3 linked regions of the Struthio camelus genome follow. The protein of the gene in region 2 purifies or fractionates together with the protein of the main gene of each other region. This does not show direct contact. Links are inferred from orthologs where the notes say so. Each region holds a gene or a part of one and is shown on either strand. Other genes may lie near its edges.

Region 1 (7,188 bases), on a different chromosome or scaffold from region 2:
CCTCTGTCGCCGAGACGCGGTGGGGGAACAGTCGTTACAGACCAGCGCTACAGCCCGGGAGAAAGACACCGGCTCATAACAAAAGACGTCGCCGCCAAAGGCCGCGCAGCCGGCAGCGGGGACACGAACCCCCCCCCCACCGCCGCCGCCACGCACAACACAGCGGAGGAGAGAGGGGAGTCGAGCCCCTCCGCTTGGGGGGACACGAGCGCGCGTCCCCCGCCTTTTCGACGGGGCCGCAACCGCATTAAGACACTCCGGGCTTCAACGTGCTTTGAGTGCCTCCGGCGGGGTGGCTGAGGGTGGGGGGAGGAGGCTCCTGCAGGGGCTTTTGGGCAGCAAGGAGGGGGCGGCTGCACCCGAGCGCCGCGAAAAACCCTCCGTAGCACCCTGGGGCGGCTCTCTTTCGCCGCGGCTCACGCCAGGACGGGCTTTGTGCCGGGGGCGGCCAGCAGGGAAGGCTCGATCCCCCTCTGGCCGGCGCAGGAGACCAACCTTCGCGTACGGACAGGGCGCGCTGCCACAAAGACGGGAGGCCGGGGCAGCTTCTTGCGAAGCCAGGGCAGACAGATTTCATCCCCTGGCTTTGTCCTAGGCAGCGCGAATACACAGATTCGGCCACCAGCTCGGGCGCCAGAGGATGCAGCCCGGATGCCGTCAGCCCGAGGGATGCAATAACCCCTCTGCATCGCAGCCCCCCCAGGAAGGGGGCAAAAGGCAGATTAATTTTTAGGGGTGGAGAGCAGGGAGGGGGCAGCAGGCGACCTGAGGACAGGATGAGAGCGACGGCAGAGGGCCACTGCTCGCGGACGGGGTGGGGGGGGACGCTGCTATCAGTATTTCAGGAAGGAGGTGCAGAACGAGGAGCAGATCCCTTGGAGACCAGGGAAGCTGGTGCTGAAACCCAGACGGCGCCACAAAAACGCAGCTACGGGAGGAAGAAGCCACAACGGAAGAGACAGAAGCCGGGAAGGGGCAGTAGGGTATAAAGAGTGAGGGGTGCTGGCCCGGCGTGAGAAGCTGGAGGGCAGGAGAAGGGCAGTAAGGTGGGACGAGGGGGATCTCACAGGGTGGAGAAACGGCGTCCTCCAGAAGGACAAACAGCAGAGCGACGGGGAGAGGAGGAGCAATAAAGGGGAGACGCTCCGGGGAGGGGGGACAGGGACGCTCAGGGACGCAGGACGGGGGCCCTGCCGACGGGAGGGGAAATGCCCCGGGGAAGACGGGTGCTCCAGAGGACGGGCAGCACCCCACAAAGCGGGGGAGAAGGGATGCCAAAGGGGGGCGTAAAGGAGGGGGCGACACGGATCCCCCCCCGGGAGACAGCGCTGGGGGACAGCGAATGCTCGGCAGGTTGCGGGGAAACGGATGGGGCGGAGGGGGTGCAACCGACCCTGCTGAAGGGAGATGCTGACGGGGGGCTGAGGGGGGGGCACTGCGGCGTCCCTGACCCCCATCACCCAACCTGCCAGCAGCACAGGCTGCCGCTGAGCGAGGGGCAGGGGGGAGGCGGGGTGGGGAGCTGGGGGGCAGAGCCCCCCCCACGCTGGGGGTGGGGGGGAAGAGGGCTGCAAGAGCTGGGGGGGGGGGGCCTGCAGGAAGGAGGCTGAGAAGGGGAGAGCGGAGGGAGGGCTGCAAGAGGGGGGAGCCCGAAGGGGAACTGGGGGGGGGGATGCCTGGAAGGAGGGGCACTGGGGGGGCTGAAAGGAGGGGGGCGCTGGGGGAAAGGCTACAGTGGAAGGATGCTGAAGCAGGCTGCAGAGGGGGAGGATGGGGGGGCTGGGGGCCTGGGGGGGTGCTGAAAGAAGGGGATGCGGGGGGGTGATGAAAGGAGGGGAGGCAGAGGGGTGCTGAAGGGAGGGGACAATGAAAGGGGGGATGCGGGGGGGACAATCAAAGCGGGGGATGCAGGGGGGATGCAGGGGGACAATGAAAAGGGGGGGACGCGGGCAGGTAATGAAAAGGGGGGGACGCGGGCAGGTAATGAAAAGGGGGGGACGCGGGGGGGTAATGAAAAGGGGGGGACGCGGGGGGGGTAATGAAAAGGGGGGGACGCGGGGGGGGTAATGAAAAGGGGGGGGTCAGTAAGGGGTAGGAGATGCCAGGGAGGGGGGTCGATGGAAGGGGTGGGGGGTGCTGGGGAGGGGGGTCGATGGAAGGGGTCGGGGTTGCTGGGGAGGGGGGTCGATGGAAGGGGTCGGGGTGCCGGGGGGGGGTCGATGGAAGGGGTCGGGGGTGCGGGGGGGGGTCGATGGAAGGGGTCGGGGGTGCCGGGGGGGGGGGTTGATGGAAGGGGTCGGGGGTGCGGGGGGGGGGTTGATGGAAGGGGTCGGGGGTGCGGGGGGGGGGTTGATGGAAGGGGTCGGGGGTGCGGGGGGGGGGAGTTGATGGAAGGGGGGGGTCGATGAAAGGAAGGGATGCAGGTAGGACGATGAAGGTTGGGGGAGGGGGGGAGATGAACCGGGGGGGGGGGAGAGGGGGAGCAGCGATGCCAGGTGGAAAGGGCGCCGGGAATGCAAAGGCCCCACGGAAGGAGGGATGATGATGATGATGATGATGTTTGGGAGGGGGGGGGAACCGGTGAGCGCTCGTTGAGGCGGGTTGGGGGGGGGGGAAGGGAGAGACCGCTCCCACACCGCCTCCCCCCCCCCCCGCCCCCAGCCCCGAACAATGGGCGGGAGCGCGACGCCGAGCTCGCGTGACCCTCCGGGGCCGCCGTAGCGCGCCCCCCCCACCTCCCACAGCGTCTTCCCTCCCCCCCCCCCCAACCCCGCCGGTCCCTTTCAGTGAGGGACCGGCCCGGGCGCCGTGACAGGCCCCCGCCGGCCCTTACCGCGCTGGTCGCCGCCGGCAGGGTCCATACCCGGCGGGGCGGCCGAGCCCGCGGCGCGGCGCGGCGGGAACAAAGGAGCCGCCACCGCCGCCGCTGCCGCCGCCGTGTGTGAGGGAGCGCGAGCCGCGCGCGCGCGCCTCCCCCGCCGCCCGCGCGCGCCCCCACCCCGCCCCCCCAGGCAGGCAGGCAGGCAGCGCGCATGCGCGCCGGCTCGGCTTCTCTCCCTCCCCTTCCCCGCCTCCGTGCGCACCGCCCCCTGCGCACTTCACCCGCCCCCTCCGCCAGCGCAGCCAATGAGGGCAGCGGAGAGCCGGCGTGCGCCCGCCCCCCTCCCCGCGACAGCCAATGGCAGCGCGGAGAACCCGCTCCTCAGCAGCGCGCCTCCTATTGGTGAGAAGGGGCGGCAGGCACGCTCTTCGGCCAATGAGGCGGGGACCAGCCGGCTGGGAGGAGGGGGGGAAGGCCCGCCCACTACCGCTCGGCGAGGCAGCCAATGGGAGAGACCCCACAGGCCCCCCCCCTCCCCGCTTTCCTATCTCGCGCGCCCGCCCGCCCGCCCGCGCGCGCGCGCGCGCGCTGCAGCCAATCGGCGCTGCGCAACCTGCCCCGGCGCTGGCTCCATCCCCGCCGCAGCCAATGGGGTGGCGGGAGGAGAGGCGGGGGGCGGGGCGAGCGAGGCGCGTGCCGCGTGCCGCCCGCTCGGCGCTGACGGCGGCTCCCCCCCTCCCTCCGCGCATGCGCACTGGCCGCGCCACTGCGGCGAAGGGGAGGGGTCGGGGGGAGGGAGAGAGGGGGTCCACGAGGGGGGAGGTCGGGGGGGTCCATGAAGGAAGGGGTCCACGAGGGGAGGGGTCCATGAAGGAAGGGGTCCAGGAGGGGGCAAGGCCCGGGGAAGAGCGTCCACAAGGGAAGGGGTCCATGAGGGAAGAGGTCCATGAGGGGAGGGGGTCCATGAGGGGAGGGGGTCCATGAAGGAAGGGGTCCATGAGAGGGGAGGGGTCTCTGAGGGAGGGGGTCCACGAGGGGAGGGGGTTCATGAAGAAAGGGGTCCATGAGGGGAGGGGGTCCATGAGGGGAGGGGTCCACAAGGGGAGGGGTCCATGAAGGAAGGGGTCCATGAGAGGGGAGGGGTCTCTGAGGGAGGGGGTCCACGAGGGGAGGGGGTTCATGAAGAAAGGGGTCCATGAGGGGAGGGGGTCCATGAGGGGAGGGGTCCACAAGGGGAGGGGTCCATGAAGGAAGGGGTCCATGAGAGGGGAGGGGTCTCTGAGGGAGGGGGTCCACGAGGGGAGGGGGTTCATGAAGAAAGGGGTCCATGAGGGGAGGGGGTCCATGAGGGGAGGGGTCCACAAGGGGAGGGGTCCATGAAGGAAGGGGTCCATGAGAGGGGAGGGGTCTCTGAGGGAGGGGGTCCACAAGGGGAGGGGTCCATGAAGGAAAGGGGTCCATGAGGGGAGGGGGTCCATGAAGAAAGGGGTCCATGAGAGGGGAGGGGTCTCTGAGAGAGGGGGTCCAGGAGGGGAGGGGGTCGGGGAGGGGTCCATGAAGGAAGGGGTCCAGGAGGGGGCAAGGCCCGGGGAAGAGCGTCCACAAGGGAAGGGGTCCATGAGGGAAGAGGTCCATGAGGGGAGGGGGTCCATGAGAGGGGAGGGGTCTCTGAGGGAGGGGGTCCATGAAGAAAGGGGTCCACGAGGGGAGGGGTCCATGAGGGAAGAGGTCCATGAGGGGAGGGGGTCCATGAGGGGAGGGGTCCATGAGAGGGGAGGGGTCTCTGAGGGAGGGGGTCCATGAAGAAAGGGGTCCACGAGGGGAGGGGGTCCATGAGGGGAGGGGTCCACGAGGGGAGGGGGTCCACGAGGGGAGGGGTCCACGAGGGGAGGGGGTCCATGAGGGGAGGGGTCCATGAGGGGAGGGGTCCATGAGAGGGGAGGGGTCTCTGAGGGAGGGGGTCCATGAAGAAAGGGGTCCACGAGGGGAGGGGGTCCATGAGGGGAGGGGTCCACGAGGGGAGGGGTCCATGAAGGAAAGGGGTCTTTGAGGGAGGGGGTCCATGAGAGAAGGGGTCCATGAGGAAAGAGGTCCAGGAGGGGGCAAGGCCTGGGGAAGAGGGTCAACGAGGGGAGAGGGTCCATGAGGGAAGAGGGTCCACGAAGGAAGGCCATGAGGGAGGGGGTCCATGAAGAAAAGGGTCTCTGAGGGAGGGGGTCCATGAGGTAAGGGGTCTACGAGGGGGCAAGGCCTGGGGAAGAGGTCCACGAGGGGAGGGGGTCCATGAAGGGAAGGGGGTCCATGAAGGGAAGGGGTCTACGGGGGGGCAAGGCCTGGGGAAGAGGGTCCACGAGGGAAGGGGATCCATGAAAGAAGGGGTCCACGAGGGGAGGGGACTGTGAGGAGAAGGGATCCACGAGGGGAGGGGGTCCACGAGGGGGCAAGGCCCAGGGAAAGGGGTTCCAAGAAGGAAGGGGGTTCGTGAGGGGGCACAGGCCGGGGGTCTGTGAGGGGAAGGGGCTGGGAGCAGGGGACATGGGGGGAGAGATGGGTTTGGAGCAGGGGAGACGCGGGGAGAAGGTGGGGTGGGAGAGCGGGGAGAAGGTGGGGTTGGAGCGGGGGAGACGTGGGGAGAAGGTGGGGTTGGAGAGCGGGGGAGACGTGGGGAGAAGGTGGGTTGGAGAGCGGGAGACGTGGGGAGAAGGTGGGTTGGAGAGCGGGAGACGCGGGGAGAAGGTGGGGTGGAGAGCGGGGGAGACGTGGGGAGAAGGTGGCGTTGGAGAGCGGGAGACACAGGGAGAAGGTGGGTTGGAGAGCGGGGGAGACGTGGGGAGAAGGTGGCGTTGGAGAGCGGGAGACGCAAGGAGAAGGGTTGGAGAGCGGGGGAGACACGGGGAGAAGGTGGCGTTGGAGAGCGGGAGACGCGGGGAGAAGGTGGCGTTGGAGAGCGGGAGATGCGGGGAGAAGGTGGCGTTGGAGAGCGGGAGACACGGGGAGAAGGGTTGGAGAGCAGGAGACATGGGGAGAAGGTGGGTTGGAGAGCGGGAGACGCGGGGAGAAGGGTTGGAGAGCGGGAGACACGGGGAGAAGGTGGCGTTGGACAGTGGGAGACGCGGGGAGAAGGTGGGTTGGAGAGCGGGAGATGCGGGGAGAAGGTGGGTTGGAGAGCGGGAGACGCGGGGAGAAGGGTTGGAGAGCGGGAGACACGGGGAGAAGGTGGCGTTGGACAGTGGGAGACGTGGGGAGCAGGACGTGCTGCAGGATGAGGTCTCCTGCGGGTTGAGGTCTCCTGCGGGTTGAGGTGGAACAGCAGGAGCCCTGCTGTCGGGCCCGGATCTGGCCTGGCTTGGCCGTGCCCACAGCCCAAAGACAACGGTGGTGGCCGCTGCTAAGTAAAGCTCTGCCTTCTCTTCCAGGCTCTCCAAGCGCTCGCTAAACGTACGCTAATTAAGTAGAGCCGCCGCAAAGGACACGCGGGACCACCGCAGGCGGCCTTGGGGGGGGGAACACCACCTGCTTCGGCAGCACGGAAAAACGCCGGAGAGAAAGGACAGAAACTGCGACCTGGCGATGAAACCGAGCGGACGAGGGAGGTACAACGGGCCAGGACAGGGCCCTTCCCAAAAAGGGGGCTCGTGTTTTGGAGCTAGCTCCGAACTTCCACGTTTTACCTGCACAAATCGCCACGGAACGCCCCCTCCGGGCCGCAAACTCCCGAGCGAGCCAAACGCCTTGCGATCCCTTCGCTTCGCCCCCCAAAATTAGCTTTCGCTGCAGCAAGGGCGACCGCTGATTTCTGCTGTCTCGCAGCAAAAATCGCTCTCCTTCCTTCACCGAGAGGGCTGAAGCCCTTGCTCGAGATGTTAAAAAAAAACAAAACGGGGGGGGGGGAGGTCTCAAATCCTACTCTTAATTAAAAGGAGCATAAACGAAGCGGAGCCGCTGACGGCGACGTGGGAGATGTGCGTTTTTCCCTGCCCTCCTGAAGCCACAGAGCTGCCGTCGGCGCAGGACCGATGCGGCGCCGCCGCCAGCCCGACCCCTTCAGCGCCCGTCGGTTTTCTTCCTTTTCCTCCTCCTCCCCGGCCCTGGCGGCCGGCCGACCGCTACGGGATCGGGGGCGACAGCCCGGCTCCCTGAGGAGGGAGGGATTTCGAAGCGAAACCCCGCCAAGCGGACGATCGCCCCGCGGGGAAACAAGCTCGCGGCTAAGAACGGCGCCGCGCAGAAGCGGGGAGACTCAAAACCCACTGCGCTTGCACGACGGGAAAAAGCTGCCAACGCTCGGTATTTTCCGTGAGGATTTCCCAGCCGGTTTTGCCGTCGTTCCGGCGAGGGAAAGCGTAAAACAAAGGGGGAAAAAAATA
Region 2 (7,649 bases):
TCCTAATATCTGAACCACTATTTCAGAAGAAAAAACGTGAATTTGTACAAGTAGTGTTCTCTATGTGCTGAATTTTTCCTTCTAACCCTGTAAAGAAAATCTACTGCAGAATTTCTTTACTTTTCGCCTCCATACTCTTACTCAGGGGATATTTCACAAGGTGTGTATGTGTGGGGGATGGGGAGGTGAAAAGGAGAAGAGCTCAAACAAGCGTATCATTTAAAATTTCACATATTAATGCTCTGAAATAAAGAATATGTTTGACTTTAAGACAGGGGATGCTACGATAATTCTGATCCAAATAAAATAACAAAAATATCATGCTTTAGTGTTTCCAATTAAGTTTGATTTGTCCAACCATTCCTGTCTACTATAAGAAATACATTTACTTCTGGAACAAAACAAAACAAAAAGAAAATAGTGAACTTTCAGCTCCCACTTGGCACAAAGTAGTGGATCGGCACCAAATGGCAAAGCAGCAAAATAATATTTGGCAAAAGACTGGAACTCAATTGCTGCTAAGGAGCATTCATGCAAATGCCACATGTGCCTAAACTACAGCCCTGAAAATAGCAGCCAAGAATGATCAAGTCCTCTCTTCTTTTTTGGAACCAGAACACTCCTTTCAAACCCCCCCCCCCCCACTTCTTTAAAAAGGGAAAGGGGGAGGAACCCAAGGAGAGAAAGACAGCAATTCAAAGCTGCTGTATGTGATCAATTCAGAAAGTTGCGTTAGTCTTAGTTATAATTGAATGATCTGTTTCAGCAAGACCTCCTAGAACAGAAGGTAGAGGCTACCGTAGAATTTTGATACTAAATGATGTAATCTGCAAAAATACATAAATTTGTTACTATGAACTACTTGGTAACCCAGGCATTTTAAAAGGAATCACCCACCTGTCTATTATTCTGATGTTAGGAACAAATTATGCTAAATAACAAACAGAATAAAGCTATCCCTATTACTCTGTTTTTCTAATTCTAGAAGAATCAAATATCAGCACAACTAGTCTAATAATCAAAAAACTGAACACAATTAAAATATTTTTAGTTTTGAAATGTAAATAGAAAATTTCAATACAGACATCAATAGATGGGAAAACAGCACAAAAATGACATCTTATTTTAAATACCCATTCTGACCCCACAGAACTGAATCAGTGCATCGCCACACTTCATCAAAAGATAGCCAGAAACCTTTCCTCGTATACTTGACACTAAACAGGCAGTTTTGATAAGTACCACTGATACTGATAGAAAGACCATCTGAGAGTAGTACAAGTAGTACATGACTTTGACCAAAGCCATTTGTATCAATCACATGGGAAGAGTCAATAGAAGACATTCAGTTCCAGTATATTTGAACTGCTTTGGAAAAAAACTCAGTTTTACTGTGGATCAAATATATACTCCACAAGTTCAGCTACCACTCTTCAGTGAAACAAAAAAGTTATAATGGTAAACAGCACGTACAGGCATCCAGATACTGTATTAAATGCCAACAGAGATTTATCAGATTTGACAACAAGCAGAATATACAAAGCTACAGTGAACAAAAGGGTGAAAAGAAGAAAGATTATGAAATACAAGCCGGTGTGCTATAATTGAATATCCAAAGAAACTGAAAAACCCAAAAACAAAAACATAACCACAAGTCCAGAATCATTCACGCAAAAAAGGAAAAACCAAAACACTACGAAAATATTTTCACTACTTAAACTTTAAGCTCTAAGCGGTATACAAATGAAAACTACAAGAGAATTTGAAGAGCAATGAACCGTAGTTTATTCAGCTAATGTATTTTTAATGCACTGAGGAAAAAACTTCAGAACTATAAGAAATAATAAGGTACCCATTTGATATCAAAATTCATTTAGTTACTTTTATCTGCAAAACATCACATTGTACAGTATTTTTTCCTTAATAAATCAGTGCTGAGTAGACAAACTCTGGTTTGTAGAACAAGGCCAGAATACAAGTTTGAAATGTCCTAAGAGGGGAGTTAGGGGAGGATAGGGCATCGCTGGCAGGTCTTCTTTACTCAATGGAGCTTCAGACTTGCTTTTACACTACTATGTCAAACCCCTGTGCACCGTTTGCAATGCCTTGCAGAGCAGTGACCACGAAGATCAAGGCTCTTAATCCTGACACTGAAAACCTTCTGCTCTGCTTCTACACTAAAACGTCTATTTTCAAATCGAGCGCAAGATCCATCCGAGGGCATCCCTGTCTTTTACTTGGGCGAAGGAGTGGACAAGGGGGAGGGGGGAAGAGAACAGTCAGACGATAGCTTCATAACCTCAACCGAGATAGCAATACCAAGTCATAACCATCCAACACTGCAAACTAACAGCTTTTTTTTTTTTTCCCCCCTTCCCTTTCCTTTCCACAGCCCCCACCCCCTTCGCTCGGGAGGAGGTGGGGACGAGAAGGGTGATCCAGAAGGCTGCGGGGAGCTGGGAATGGGGCTCCCGGCGCCCCTCTTTCCCCCCCGCGCCGCCCGCGCACGGAGCCGCAGGAGGTTATGTATCATTTTATAAAGCTACATTGTATCCTGTAGACGTGACCTGCAGACGCAGCAACGGGAGGCTGTTTGGGGGGGAACTGGATTGGGGGAGCAATGGAAAGGGAGCAGGGATGCTACCCTGGGAGGGGGGGGCAGGGTTCCCTTCCCCCCCCTCCCCCCCAGTTTTTTTCGCCCTGTCACAGCCCTGAGTTGCAGGTAGAGAGAGTTAAGAGATTTAAAGAGAAATTGCTACATTGTAACAAACTCACCGTGATGTTTGAGCAGCAGTCAGCGCGGGGTCTCCGAGACATCCCCGCACGGGCTCCGGAGGCAGGACCCCAGCAGGCACAGACACATAGAGGTTCAGCGCACTGCCTGATTGCATCGCCGCGGCGCCGCCGAGGAGCCGGCCGCCGGCCGCCAAGCGGGGAGCTCGGCTGCAACTGCATTTATTACCCAAAAAAATTTAAAAAAAAAAAAGAAAGAAAAAAAACCCACTTTACTCACACCTCTACGTACATATAAAAAAAATCTCCCCCCCCCGCCCCCGTTTGCTCCCACCCCTTTGGCAGCATTTGCATGCGCGACGCCCCACCCCTCGCTTTCAAAACAGCCCCGCAGCCGAGCGAGCGGCGGCGGCGGCCAGCAGCGCCGAGGGGCCGCGGGCGGCTGCGCAGGGGCCCGGCCCGGCCGCGCCGCCCCGCGCCCCGGCCGCCCCGCCGGCCACCCGGCTCCCTCGCACGAGCCGGCGTCAGGCACCGTGTCGCGACTAGGAGCAGTGACGTGCGCCTTTCTTTTCCGGGTGGGATTAAAGAGGGGGAAAAATAAAAAAAAGTCCCCAAATTCAGTAACCCCGAATTAAAAAAAATAAAAAAGGCAGCAGAACCTTCACTAGGCTACATTGTTGCAGCTTAAGGCAACAAAACTAGAACAATTTAAAAATGCATTTAACTTATACTTCATTTAAGGCCCAGTACTCCTCCAGTCTCCTAAGGAGCACAGGCCACTAAGTTGCATCCAGGTATGTTTATACCTGGAAATGCAGAAGGCTTAAAAGTACACTAAGTACACTAGTCTTGCACAGACTGAATTATGTGTCACAGGCAGGAGAAAAAAAAAAAAACAAAAAACCAAACCTACTTCCAGTTCCCAAGATCCCACATTAGCAGGAAATGGCTCAGGAAAGACAAGACAAATCATTCTCTACACTGCAGAGGACACTAAAACCTACCGAGTTCCCAAAATATAAACATGTGTAATTGGCACTCAAAACGTTTTATAACTTGTTGGCCCACTTAAGAGCTTACTGAAAGAGAAAACTGCTTCTGTATCATTCATTAAATGGAGAAAATGTTAAAACTAGCAGCCTCTCAGGTCCTGCATGCAGCCAGCACTATAGAGCGCTTCAAATACGTTAGCAACACAAATCAGCCCAGGACTGACAGACACTGCACTACAAACATTTTCAATACCGCATTCTCATCACGCTTGTTCCACCGAGGGGCAGATGGCCTGCACCAGGCCCTGGCCGTGGGTCCCTGGCAGCGTCCTGCATCCTCTAACCACCATCACAGCAAACCCGTCTGATGGGGTGCAGGAAAGCTTGACAATGGCTAGCAGGATTTCAACACACATTCTCAAAATGTTATCAACTACAAACATTTCAAAACCTTTGTCTCTGTAGGAAGGACCCGGCAGTTCCATCTCCAATGAGGGATGAAGGTTACCAGCTCCTCAGAAATGGGCCTCAAATAAGTATTCCTTCCCCCACTCCCTTATTATTTGGTAAGAATAAATGCACCTTCTAAGACCAACCCTTTCAAGACCATTGAGTTTTTCCTCTCAGTACGTTAGCAGCAGTTTTAGGCCCTGTTGAGGAAGGGGTGGGTGGGGGAGAAGGTGTTAAAACTTGATAATAATTATTCTTTTCTTGCTGTTTGAGTAGCTCCTTGAGAGCATCAAAAGATTAGGACCTCAAATCCTAAGCATCAAGACTTCAGAAATGCCAGGACCAGCACATTACTTTTTTTAGTTTAAAACATCTAAGTATTTTTAAAGGTACATCTGCAGTATGCACATTTTGCAAAAATCTCTTCCTCCTAAAAGACACAGAGATTGATATAGGAAAAAAATACATCCAGAGGAAGGAGGAGAATACAACTTCAAAAACTGTAACGACTAAGATCCACAGACATTTCTGAGGAGACCTTTTTTTCTAAGTTATAATCGCCTCATTTTTTATAGCGGGAACAATCAAGTGACACAGATAAATAAGCCAATAAAGTGTTCTCAATTATTTTTAATACACACTCATTACTGTGTCATCTGGACAGACAACACATACAAGCACACAACAGTATTACTACTAATCAAAAGAAATAATATTGACATAGCAAAATGGCTGACTTCTCTGAAGAAACACAACGTAACTGTAACTAAGGTGATTTACATCTTTAAATAATGATTTTTTTCTCCCTTAAATTTTCTTTTCTATATTTTTAAGTAGGCATAAATCATACTTCCATAAAATAAATTCCTCCAGCTAATTTTTACCATCCTAAATCTTGGCTGAGGAAAGAGCTGGAATTAAAACAGGAATGAAGTAGTGAATTTTACTTGCGATACGTATATGCCTTATTATTTGTTATAGGCCTGCAGTTTCTTCCAGGTATACCACTTTGGGTTTGGTCTTGAAAACATTCTTCTTTTTTTTTTAAAGCTACAAAAGACAATATTTAATATATATAATTAAATATTTATTTACAAAGGAGAAAGTTATATTTAAACAAAAAACTTCAGTATTTACTGCTGAAGAGGAACATTTTAAAACTGTTTTCTACTAACATTAAACACGGGCAAAAAAAACACTTGCCAAATTTGGCTCAATTATTGTTCGAAAAAAATAAAAATGCAAGTCATGTCAACATATTATGCACTTAAAATAGCATACTTTTATAACTGATCGTGAAGACATAGCAGCCAAGAAAACCTAAGACTGTCTTGGGTGGCAGGGAAGCTAGCTATGCTGAAAGCTCATGCTCAAGCAATCTTTTTTATTAGTATTACTAATTTTACGTGCTGACTACGCTCAGTGCTGGTGCATTTTCAGGCACAATCTTAAACTGGCTCTGTGCTCAGGCAGCACAAAGCACAGCTCAACCAAGGGTCCTCAACATACCAATTATAAACTGGTTCTGCCGGAGGAAGAGACACCGCTCCCGATTGGCCAAAAGTGGAGCAGCTCAGAGAGAAATGGGAAGGGCCAGATGCATTACCCTGCATCCTGATTAGACAGGTTAAATGTGATTGACCAGTGTGAGTAATTAATAATCTAGAGGCAGGGCTTTCTACTTTGTTTATACCCTTTGATTGGTTGAATTTGAATTAGATATACATTCTGTTTATACCTGGGTGGGACTATGGAGGGGTTTATTTTGGTGCATTACACTATAAAAGTGCAGTGCTAACCGAGCGCAGTGACAGTTTAACAGAGGAAGGAGACCGCAGTTTGAAGCGGCGGCAGCCGCCGCCACTTCAGTGGCAGCATCATCATTATTATTTCCTGGTTGTAAGTGGCCTTGCTATGAGCCTGTCAGATAACTGCTGAAAGCTAACCTAATCAGGAGCCATTAACGAAGTACAGAGGGCAACGCAATGGTTCCTAAAGTAGTTCGGAACTCGAAATAATTGGAGTAGGTGTGGAAAAGGAGATGAAAAACCTCTCCCTCTATAATCACATTCCAATCGCCATAAAGAATATCGCTTATAAACATGTTAAAGTAACACAAGGCACATTTACACTTGAATATTTTCTGTCTTTTAGCTGCGCCATACCATTCCAGAGCGCTGGAAAAATACAGTGGAGTCTGCCATGTCTAAAAAAATCTTGGCAGAAAGCCACAGTAAGTGATAATTAGAGTAACCCATGGGACAAGATTGTTCAAAGAGAGAGGCTAGTTTGAACTATGTTGCTATCAACAGATCTCTTAAAGCACACGGTTTATTTCCAAGTGGGAAGTGTTAATAATATTGTAAGAGATCTTTAAATCTTATTATGCTAATTCTACAACCATTTTTTTTCTTTCCTATACACTTTAGGCAACCTTTACTAGAGTAACAGATTGCTTCCCCACAGTTATATCCTGCTATTCTGAATAAGCAAGGGTCAAATTCACTGCTATAGTAAATGGATGCGACTTTGATGACTTCAGTTTGGTGTACCTCACATACAGCACGAAAATTTAGTCTTTAAATTTCACTGTTCAAAAGTAAAGAAAATGAGGCAAGTTAGATAAACCCTTTAACTTCCACAGAATTATTCACATACAAATACGCTGCCCTTAGACATCACTTTTTGTCAGCTGATCTCAAAAAACTTTTACAGCACGGCCAATACAGTTAAGTACGAGAGGAAGCCACAGGGAACTTTTATCATGGGGAGCTCAAATGATGCACTGTGGCAAAGCAGCAAACCCTCCTCAGCCTCCCGAATTGTGCAGTTCAGCACTCTTCAGGCCACGAAGCCCTCCCTAGGATGACGGCCTCTTGTTACTTTCTTAACATTAGGCCAGATCCTTTAGTAGAGTGAAACGTAACAGGGCCACGAATACAGCAAATGCACCAATCTATTCCAAGTAAAAACTTGGCCTATTGTAAGAAATAGATTCAAATCTTAGTCACGTCATGCAGTGTACTAGTTAATTGCTCTTTCTATACTGATACGGACCTGAAAATTCACTCTCAAGATAAGTTTGTCAAACCAAACACAAAGCAGAGTAATAAAAAAAAAAACAAAAAACCAAGCACCGGTATTTAAGCTTGCTTAAAATATACTGCTGATGACTAATACAATTACATACTATTTTTAATGCAATAATACCAAGGACTGAACCCTTAAAGGTTTGTTAATATCACTGTAGCCCATTCCTGCTTTAACCACTAGACTGCAGTAGCAGTAGTTGCTGCAGTACCATTCCAGTTTAAAACAGTGTAGTCTACTTACTTTCAGTTGATTTTTCTTCCACTTCTGAATTACTTTACTATGATTCAGGAGGCTCTAGATGACTGCTTTGTCAGCCAGACCAAGCCTGTGATACTGATAACAGAGCTTTTTCACTGGTAAAGTTAGAGCATTATTTCTATT
Region 3 (7,813 bases), on a different chromosome or scaffold from region 2:
TAAACATTTTAGCAGATATTGAGCGGGGGAGATAGAAGGAGGGGTCACTTATTTTAGACACAGCCAGGATATTCTCCTCCTTTGGAAAAAGAACAGTTGTTTTCTTTGAGCCTCTACCCTGGCAATGCTGCTGGCAGCAGAGGATGAAGGAAATGCTTGCTTTCCCTTGTGGATGGAAACAGGAGGAAGAAAAAGGCAGGTTCATTGCCATCCTCAGTCACCAAGAATTAGTGATAGGCTCAGGTATTGCAGAAAAGAGTGCTGGAAATCCACCTTCTTCCCAGAGTTGGTAGACTGTTAGTGCTTTTCCATCAGCGTGGGTCTCGACCTCTCTTCTGCATGGTGCATCCACCACATTACTCCTGATTCTTGCCCATCCTAGTGACACGGGTCAGACCTGAGCCTAGTCAGCTCCTCTTATAGCCCAGATTCCCCCCATATGGCAGGGTCCTGTTCCAGTTCAGGGCTGGTACAGAGCAGAGGCAGACCCTGACCTGTATGACTGCTACAGTAGACTGGATTGCCATGGGGGCAGCCCACCTGGTCTCTGGCCATCCTGCAACAGCACCTCCATCCATCCAACATACAGTGCAAAATGCACTCTGATGCAGTATGGACTGGATTTTCATGATCCTGTTGGTTCAGGTGTGGGAATAGAAAGTCTTTCCTGCAACAGAGTCCTCTGCAAGGAGCAGACGAGCATCAGCCATTGTACCTCCAGCAGCCCCAGGTTGAAGGGAGACAGGAACCAACATCACTACTAGACACTCTACAAGCTCCAGGAATCTTCTCAGCTGCCCTGGGAAGTACTGTGCAAGAAAGAGGCCCCAAACATAGTTTTACAGGTTGCCACAGCTCCTGAGCTTGGTGCCCAGAGGCCTTGCTCAGGAGAGGGACACCATCTTTCCTACTCCTCAGGGGCCTGGATGGAAAGTGCATGTCATCCCAAGGCTGAATTAGCCTACAGAGAGCCTGCGTGCAGAGCTAGGCCATCTCCAGCCACTGCAGGGGTTAAAAACCAATCGCTCATGAAACAGCCAAACTTCCTCCTAGCCATTTCTGAAGCCCAAGACCAGCAACAATCCCTGTTTCAGCTTCACTGTTTTCTTTAATGCTCTTTCCCAGTGCAAATTTAACAGAGAGGATGCAGGATTACATAGCTACCTGGCTGCCCTGTGTGTGCATGCCCCATCTGTGCACTGTGAGATCAAGTACTGGAAAACGCACCAAGCAGCTCTGCAGGCAGCGTTATTGCATAAGCAGATTACCTAGCACCTGACCTGCAGACAAGGGTTTACAGTGCTAAAATTGGCAGGCTCCTACCACGAGTTAAAATGAGATAAAGAAAAAGTATTACATGCTGCAGGGTAATTATAGAGATTCCCATTTTAACCTGAACTGGAAATATTATCAGTTTGGCAACCTCTTGCTGGTTTATGTAGCTCGCTCCTTCAGAGCCACATGCCCCCCTTATGCCTGTGCATGCTCACATATGTTCTCCTCTAAGAGCAGGGCTTGGAGGGTAAGTACAGGTCCCTCCCACTCTACCCTGTGCACAGATTTGGCATACAAGCAATATGCCCCCTGTCCAGTCAGAGGATGACCCATTTTTCTTCTTTCCTCCCACCCAACAGCACCAGGCTTCACAGCATAGGTGTCAAAGGAATCAACGTTCACCCTGTCAATCTCTACAGCTTTGTAAATTGTTTTATCCAACAATGGGTTTTGATCCTCCTTCGGCATAACCAGAGCAAACTCAAAGCTCAGGGCTTTGATCCACTGCCCAAACGCCTACTTGAAAACTACAACCAGACCCAGCTGACTGGAGCAGCTTGAGAGAAATACGCCCTTCCACATGCGTGCAGGGCTCTCCACAGTGATAAGCCTATGAGAAAACAGGCTGGGCAGCTGGATAGCTCAAATACAAAGCCAAATCGTTTATTACAACTTCCATAAATAGAAAAAAAAGACAGCTGTGAAAGCAGTCTTCCTCATCCTACCCTCTGGGCTGGAGAGAGGTGGGAATTCAGCTCCTTGCGCTCCTAGGCTTCAGGTGCCTGTCAGTGACAGTGTTTGTGACAGTGATGGGATTTCTCCTCTCTCCTTTGCCTGGGAGCTCTGCCAAGGCACCGCTCCCAGTTGCACAGCTCACTGCTGAGTTATCAGATACTAAAGAGTTTCTGAGCTTTGTCTCCCTTTTCTGCCTTCTCGCCAGACTCTCGGTACTGGATTTATGAAGGTGAAAGACGGGTTTCTGGCCCTACCCCTATTGCGGAGCTGGGCCTCCCTGCTTCCCCTGTCCAGGCAGCTTTGGTGTGGGGGGCTGAGAAGAACAAGATCTACATCTTCAGCGGAGGCAACTACTGGCGCTTCAACCCTCATACCCGTCAAGTGGACAACATCTACCCTCGGACCATGGCTGACTGGCGTGGCGTCCCTCAGGAGACTGATGCTGCTTTCCAAGATGAGTTTGGTCAGTGCCAGAAGGGACAAGGCCTGCTCTGGGGTGGTCTTTCAGGCTGACCTCGCTTCCCAGCTGGAAGAACTGGGCAGATTTAGATGCTTAATAATAATGGACATTTTCCAGCCATTGCACATGATATACAGTGTATGGAGAGCAAGGCAGCTCCCTCCAGTGGGGAGGGAACTGAGGCTTCTCTCACTGAAGTAGCAAGCCTTGTAATTATTAATTGCAAAAATTAGTTAACAGCTATGCATCTGATAGAGAGAATTCAAACTTCTCACAAAGAAATATTCATGGAGTCTTGCCCAGCTGCTACCACTTCCCACAGAGGAAGAGATGAGATGTCACCAGAACCGCTGCCCACATTTCAGCCTAGGTAGCTGTCCTGAATGAGCAGGCTGCTTCCAGTATTAGCTAGTCCTCCCAGAGGTGTCCCATGCAGTGCCACAGATACACTGGGTGCTTGGGATGACGGCTGTGCAACTCCCTCTCTCCCAAAGGATGTGGTGGAATAACTCACTGGTGCTTCCAGTAATGACCTAAAATCCCAGAGAAATTTCCCTACGGTAACAGATACTCTTTAGCAGGTCTTCACAAACTCCCTTCCATCGGTCCTGTTCAGATCCTAAACTCCCTCTGCCCTTCCAGGGCTAGGCTACTACACTGGCACAGCATATTTAAAATCACCCAATATGTAAAATAAAATCCATCCTGTTTGCTCTTCCATCAAAACTAAAGCCATGTGAAAGAACAGTGCAAGTCACAAATCTGGAAAAGGCTGAAGATGCAGCTAGATTCATTTCACTTGAATCCAGGCTCTCTTTTAGTACTCCACATCCCATGTGCTGTGGTGCATCAGCAAAACAAAATGCTAGGAAAGAGCTGAGCTGTGTGGGCCTTGTCTTTCCTAACCCTTTATCTCCCATCTACAGGTTTTGCCTATTTCCTGAGAGGCCAAGATTACTGGAAATTTGACCCAGTCCAGGTGAAAGTGCTGGAGGGTTACCCACGCCAGATCAGCCAGGACTTCTTCAGCTGCACACCTTCCTCCAACTCCTTCCGATGAAGAGGGGGATGCTCACGTCCTCCACATTTCCCTCTCATCTCCTTTATCTCCAGCAGCCACACAGACACAGGGTTCTCGCTGCCACTCCTGGCTTCCTTTAAGGCTCAGCATCTGATACAACTGATGCCTGTCACAAGTGACAAAGGTTGCTCCTCTCCAGTTCCAGCAGCCTCCAAAATAAAGTGTCTGGCACATTCTCTACAAACAGAGCAGCCACTAAACTGCTAAAGTGGCCAAGCTCTTCCAACAATGGCATCCCAAAAGCCTTTGAGCAAGCCTGAAATGGGATCAGGCTTTCCTAATTAACCTGGACCCTATCATGTTAAACTGATCTGGTGGTATTTCCTATGTTTACATTGCTCACAGTAGCATCCCATTTGCTGTTCCAGACATTGGCCTCAGAGGAAGGATTCCACTGAGATGCCTTCCTCACCCTTAGCCAGGGAGTTTTACGGACACTGACTGCCTATGGAGAAATTCAGACGTGTAGCCATGTTGCCAGGGTCACTTCACCACAGCTGCAATGGTGAATACCAATACCCTGTCACAGCTCTACTCTTGGTTTTATGTTGTATCACTAGTATGCGTTAGAATTTTATACTGTTTTGTAAATAGACAATGTGCCTCCTTCCTTCCAAGACGCTAGGTTTCAGTGCTGGTCACTGCCCTATTGCTCCGTATGTTCTTTTTAAGTTAGGTTCCTGGTATTAGGTTGCTCATTACCGCACTGATGGGTCTCGTCCCACTCACTATTTCCAGCAGACAGGTCCATCCGGACACCATTCCGACAATGCACAAGCCTCAGTTCAGCTCTTTGCACATGCTACACAGCAGTATGGGGAGGAAAGAAAAAAAAAAAAAAAAGGGAAAGGGTCTCTTCCTTTCAAACTCGCGACCCACTCACGCGCCTCACCGCCCCCTCCTCCCTGGGGGACGAAAGGAAGACAGCCGTTCAGCTCCGCGCCGCCCGGGGGCCGAGGACGGCGCGGGGAAGCCCCCGGCCCGGCCGCTCCGCGCTTGCACGACGCGCACGACCCCCGCGATATATACTGTGTATATATTTGTGTACTGTGCTGTACCAATAAACCGGCCTCCTGCCCAAGCGCCGCCTGCCTCGCCCTGCCTCGCCACCGGCTCCCGCGGCGGAGCGTTACCTCAACGCGCGACCGTTAACGGCTGCCGCCGCCGCCCCACCCCCTCCTCAGGGACCGCCCTCCCCTCGCGGTGAGGCGGCAACGGCCGCGCGCGGCCTCTTTCGCCGCGCGCGGCGCCTTTAAGGCCCGGCCGGCGGGGGCGGGGCGCCCCGGCGCATGCGCGAGGCGGCGCTCGGACTAGGCCGCGGCGCTGCTCGTCGTTGCCGCCGCCGCTGCCGCCGGCTCTCGCGCTCGCCCCGCTCAGGACCGCGGCGCTGCCGCCGCCGCCCCGCGCCGCCGCCACGATGATGATGATGGCGCTGAGCAAGACCTTCGGGCAGAAGCCCGTCAAGTTCCAGCTGGAGGAGGACGGCGAGTTCTACATGATCGGCTCCGAGGTGCGGCGGGACGCGCGGCCCCGCGCACAATGGCCCGGGCGGGGCAGGGCGGGACTCGGCCCTGGGGGGGGCGGGGGGATGTCAGGGGAGGTATAGGGGTGGGTTGGGGGGATGGTCGGGGGGTGGGGGGCGCCGGGCTCGGTGGAGGCCCGGGGGGCCCAGGGGGAAGTTATGGAGGTGGCCGGACTCGGGGGGGGGGTTGTGGGGAGCTGGGGGGGGCTGAGCTCGGAGGGGCCGCTCTGGGGAGCTATAGGGGTCCGGAGCTCGGGGGGGGGGTTGGGTTTGGAGAGGGAGGTGGGCTGTAGGAATCTATAGGGGGTCCCCGGCTGGGGGGAGTGGGGAGCCGTGGGGGAGTCCTGAGCTCAGGGGGAGTCATGGGGGGGCTGGGCTGTGGAGAGTCTGTAGAGAGCTATGGGGGGCTGGGCTGGGGGGAGCTATGGGGGATGGGCTGGGGGGGGTCTAGGCTCAGGGCTGGGGGGAGCTATGGGGGATGGGCTGGGGGGGTCTAGGCTCAGGGCTGGGGGGAGCTATGGGGGATGGGCTGAGGGGCTGCGGGGAGCTATGGAGGGTGGGCTCAGGGGTCTGGGCTCAGGGCTGGGGGGAGCTATGGAGGGTGGGCTCAGGGGTCTGGGCTCAGGGCTGGGGGGAGCTATGGAGGGTGGGCTCAGGGGTCTGGGCTCAGGGCTGGGGGGAGCTATGGAGGGTGGGCTCAGGGGTCTGGGCTGGGGGGCTGCGAGGAGCTATGGAGGGTGGGCTCAGGGGGTCTGGGCTCAGGGCTGGGGGGAGCTATGGAGGGTGGGCTCAGGGGTCTGGGCTGGGGGGCTGTGAGGAGCTATGGAGGGTGGGCTCAGGGGTCTGGGCTCAGGGCTGGGGGGAGCTATGGGGTCTGGGCTGGGGGGCACTATGGAGGGTGGGCTCAGGGGGCTGGGCTGGGGGGAGGGAGCATGGCAGGGCTGGGCTCAGAGTAGGGCAGGGGCTATGGGGTGCCTGCTCGCACCTGGGGGGAAGTGACATGAGGGCTCCCGGAGGGGGAAGTCTGTGCCATGGGAGCTCGTGGTGAGGCTCGCGCAGGAGAGGCCTAGGAGTCTCCCCTTGCACCCCGGGAGGGGATCCTGCCCAGCGTGGTGCTGCCAGCCCTGCAGGTCCTCTCCGCTGCGCGCGCTGGCGGCTGTTGCGCGGGCAGCAGTTTGGGCTCTCAGCGGTCGAGCTGGGGCATCTCACCTTTGCTGGGGTCAGCGCTCCCAGCAAGGGCGGCTCTCACAAGTCACACGTGTCTGTGTACATCACGGAGTATAGAGGCTGGTTCCTCTGTGGGTCACAGCCTTGGGCCCCAGTATTATGTCCTGCTCCCCTCTGCTTGAGAGTTGCTGAGCTTTATGGCCTGATGCTCTAACTTGTGACATTTTTGTAGCGTGCTTGTTCGAACATTTGGGATTATTTCAGATGCTCTGAGGTGATTTAAGTCAACATCTAGGCCTTTATGCTTAGTAATAACAACAGCATCAGCCAGTGCAGCCTCTTCAGCCTTGTGTAGAATTTCAGCACCCCAGTGTATTTGCAGAAATGGTATTCTCTCGTGGTGAGAGGCTGCTTCTTGAAGGCTGGACTTAGTGAAGCAAGAAGCAGAGAAATGATTACAGTTGGAAAAGAACAGGAAAAGATGTAGGACAAGAAATCTTGGATAACTTAAATTGTCAACTGTACATGTTGAGCAGGGACTCAAGATCACTCACTCTCTTGAGAGCGTGTGAAATGTTTCCTAGAAGAACTGTAACTGCAGTCAGCAAATCTGCGAGTTTGCAATACCAGATGTGTGCAAGGGGAAAAGAGAGTTGCCTTTTTATGTACAAGCTAATTTCTGTCTGTTGATGAGTCCTGTAGAGAAACAGATAAGATTAACAATTATCTGAAATTAGATCTTAGGACCAAAACGAGTCTTGAAAAACAAACCTTGTTGTGTGGCAGTCCGCAAGTATATTGCCAGTCTAAAATTTTAGTTTTGTAGTCTAGAAATAGTACTTTAGCAGATCTTGGTGTAGCTTTCAGTGTGGGTGTGAATCTTGCACCGAGGGAAAATGGAACTGCTTTACAGATGCCAAGTAAATTTGAGAGAGGATTGTTGTTAGTGTTCATGTTCTATATGTTCAAAGAATTTTAAATAAAACACAAGGCAAGTCTCTGGGCTTTGCTATATCCAAGTGATATCTGGATGGCACAGAGGTTCAAAGTAAAAATAATATTGTTGGACAGCTAGGTATCTGGTTTGATGTAATTTCTAATGAGCATTGTTCATTGGAACAGCAACTGGAGTAGAGGAAACATTAGACTGTTCAAAAATACATGAAAATGAATGGGTTTTCCTATTAAATGGATTATTGTCGATGGATGAGAGTTTTTTCTTATCAGACTAGTGAAATAAATGCTGATAAAAGCTTTTTCTGTATTGCTGCAAAAATTGGGCTATATGCTATATGATGAGCCTTTTGGCAAAAAACCAAAACAAATACATCTTCTCTAGAGGTCCCAGTTGTCATTACCAAGTCCTGAATTTGCTTCGGGTTCTGCTAAATATCTTTCTAGACGGAACGTATTTCCAGGCCGTGTCTCCCCATTCCTCCTTGTAGGTGGGGAACTATCTGCGTATGTTCCGAGGTTCCCTGTACAAGAGATATCCCTCACTGTGGAGGCGACTAGCCACAGTGGAAGAGAGGAAGAAGATAGTGGCATCTTCACACGGTAAGAAGATGAGTAA

Evidence for each region. Proteins that work in one complex are often made in the same cells at the same time.
Region 1: the proteins of BICRA (region 2) and SMARCA4 purify together in Homo sapiens (affinity purification with mass spectrometry; 4 studies listed by BioGRID and IntAct, with this or other methods). This does not show direct contact. The link is inferred for Struthio camelus from reciprocal best matches to the Homo sapiens genes BICRA and SMARCA4.
Region 3: the proteins of BICRA (region 2) and SMARCB1 purify together in Homo sapiens (affinity purification with mass spectrometry; 3 studies listed by BioGRID, with this or other methods). This does not show direct contact. The link is inferred for Struthio camelus from reciprocal best matches to the Homo sapiens genes BICRA and SMARCB1.

Annotation. Positions count from the first base shown.
Region 1 is NC_090972.1:4,652,428-4,659,615, forward strand, and holds the start of SMARCA4 (transcription activator BRG1), read right to left. Parts: upstream 3,002-7,188; 5' UTR 2,834-3,001; intron 1-2,833. UniProt on the Homo sapiens protein: ATPase involved in transcriptional activation and repression of select genes by chromatin remodeling (alteration of DNA-nucleosome topology).
Region 2 is NC_090957.1:851,396-859,044, forward strand, and holds the start of BICRA (BRD4-interacting chromatin-remodeling complex-associated protein), read right to left. Parts: upstream 3,017-7,649; 5' UTR 2,956-3,016; coding exon 2,776-2,955; intron 1-2,775. UniProt on the Homo sapiens protein: Component of SWI/SNF chromatin remodeling subcomplex GBAF that carries out key enzymatic activities, changing chromatin structure by altering DNA-histone contacts within a nucleosome in an ATP-dependent manner.
Region 3 is NC_090958.1:9,548,333-9,556,145, reverse strand, and holds the start of SMARCB1 (SWI/SNF-related matrix-associated actin-dependent regulator of chromatin subfamily B member 1), read left to right. Parts: upstream 1-4,812; 5' UTR 4,813-4,968; coding exon 4,969-5,061; intron 5,062-7,685; coding exon 7,686-7,797; intron 7,798-7,813. Other genes in the region: MMP11 (stromelysin-3), read left to right, coding at 2,216-2,473, 3,397-3,530.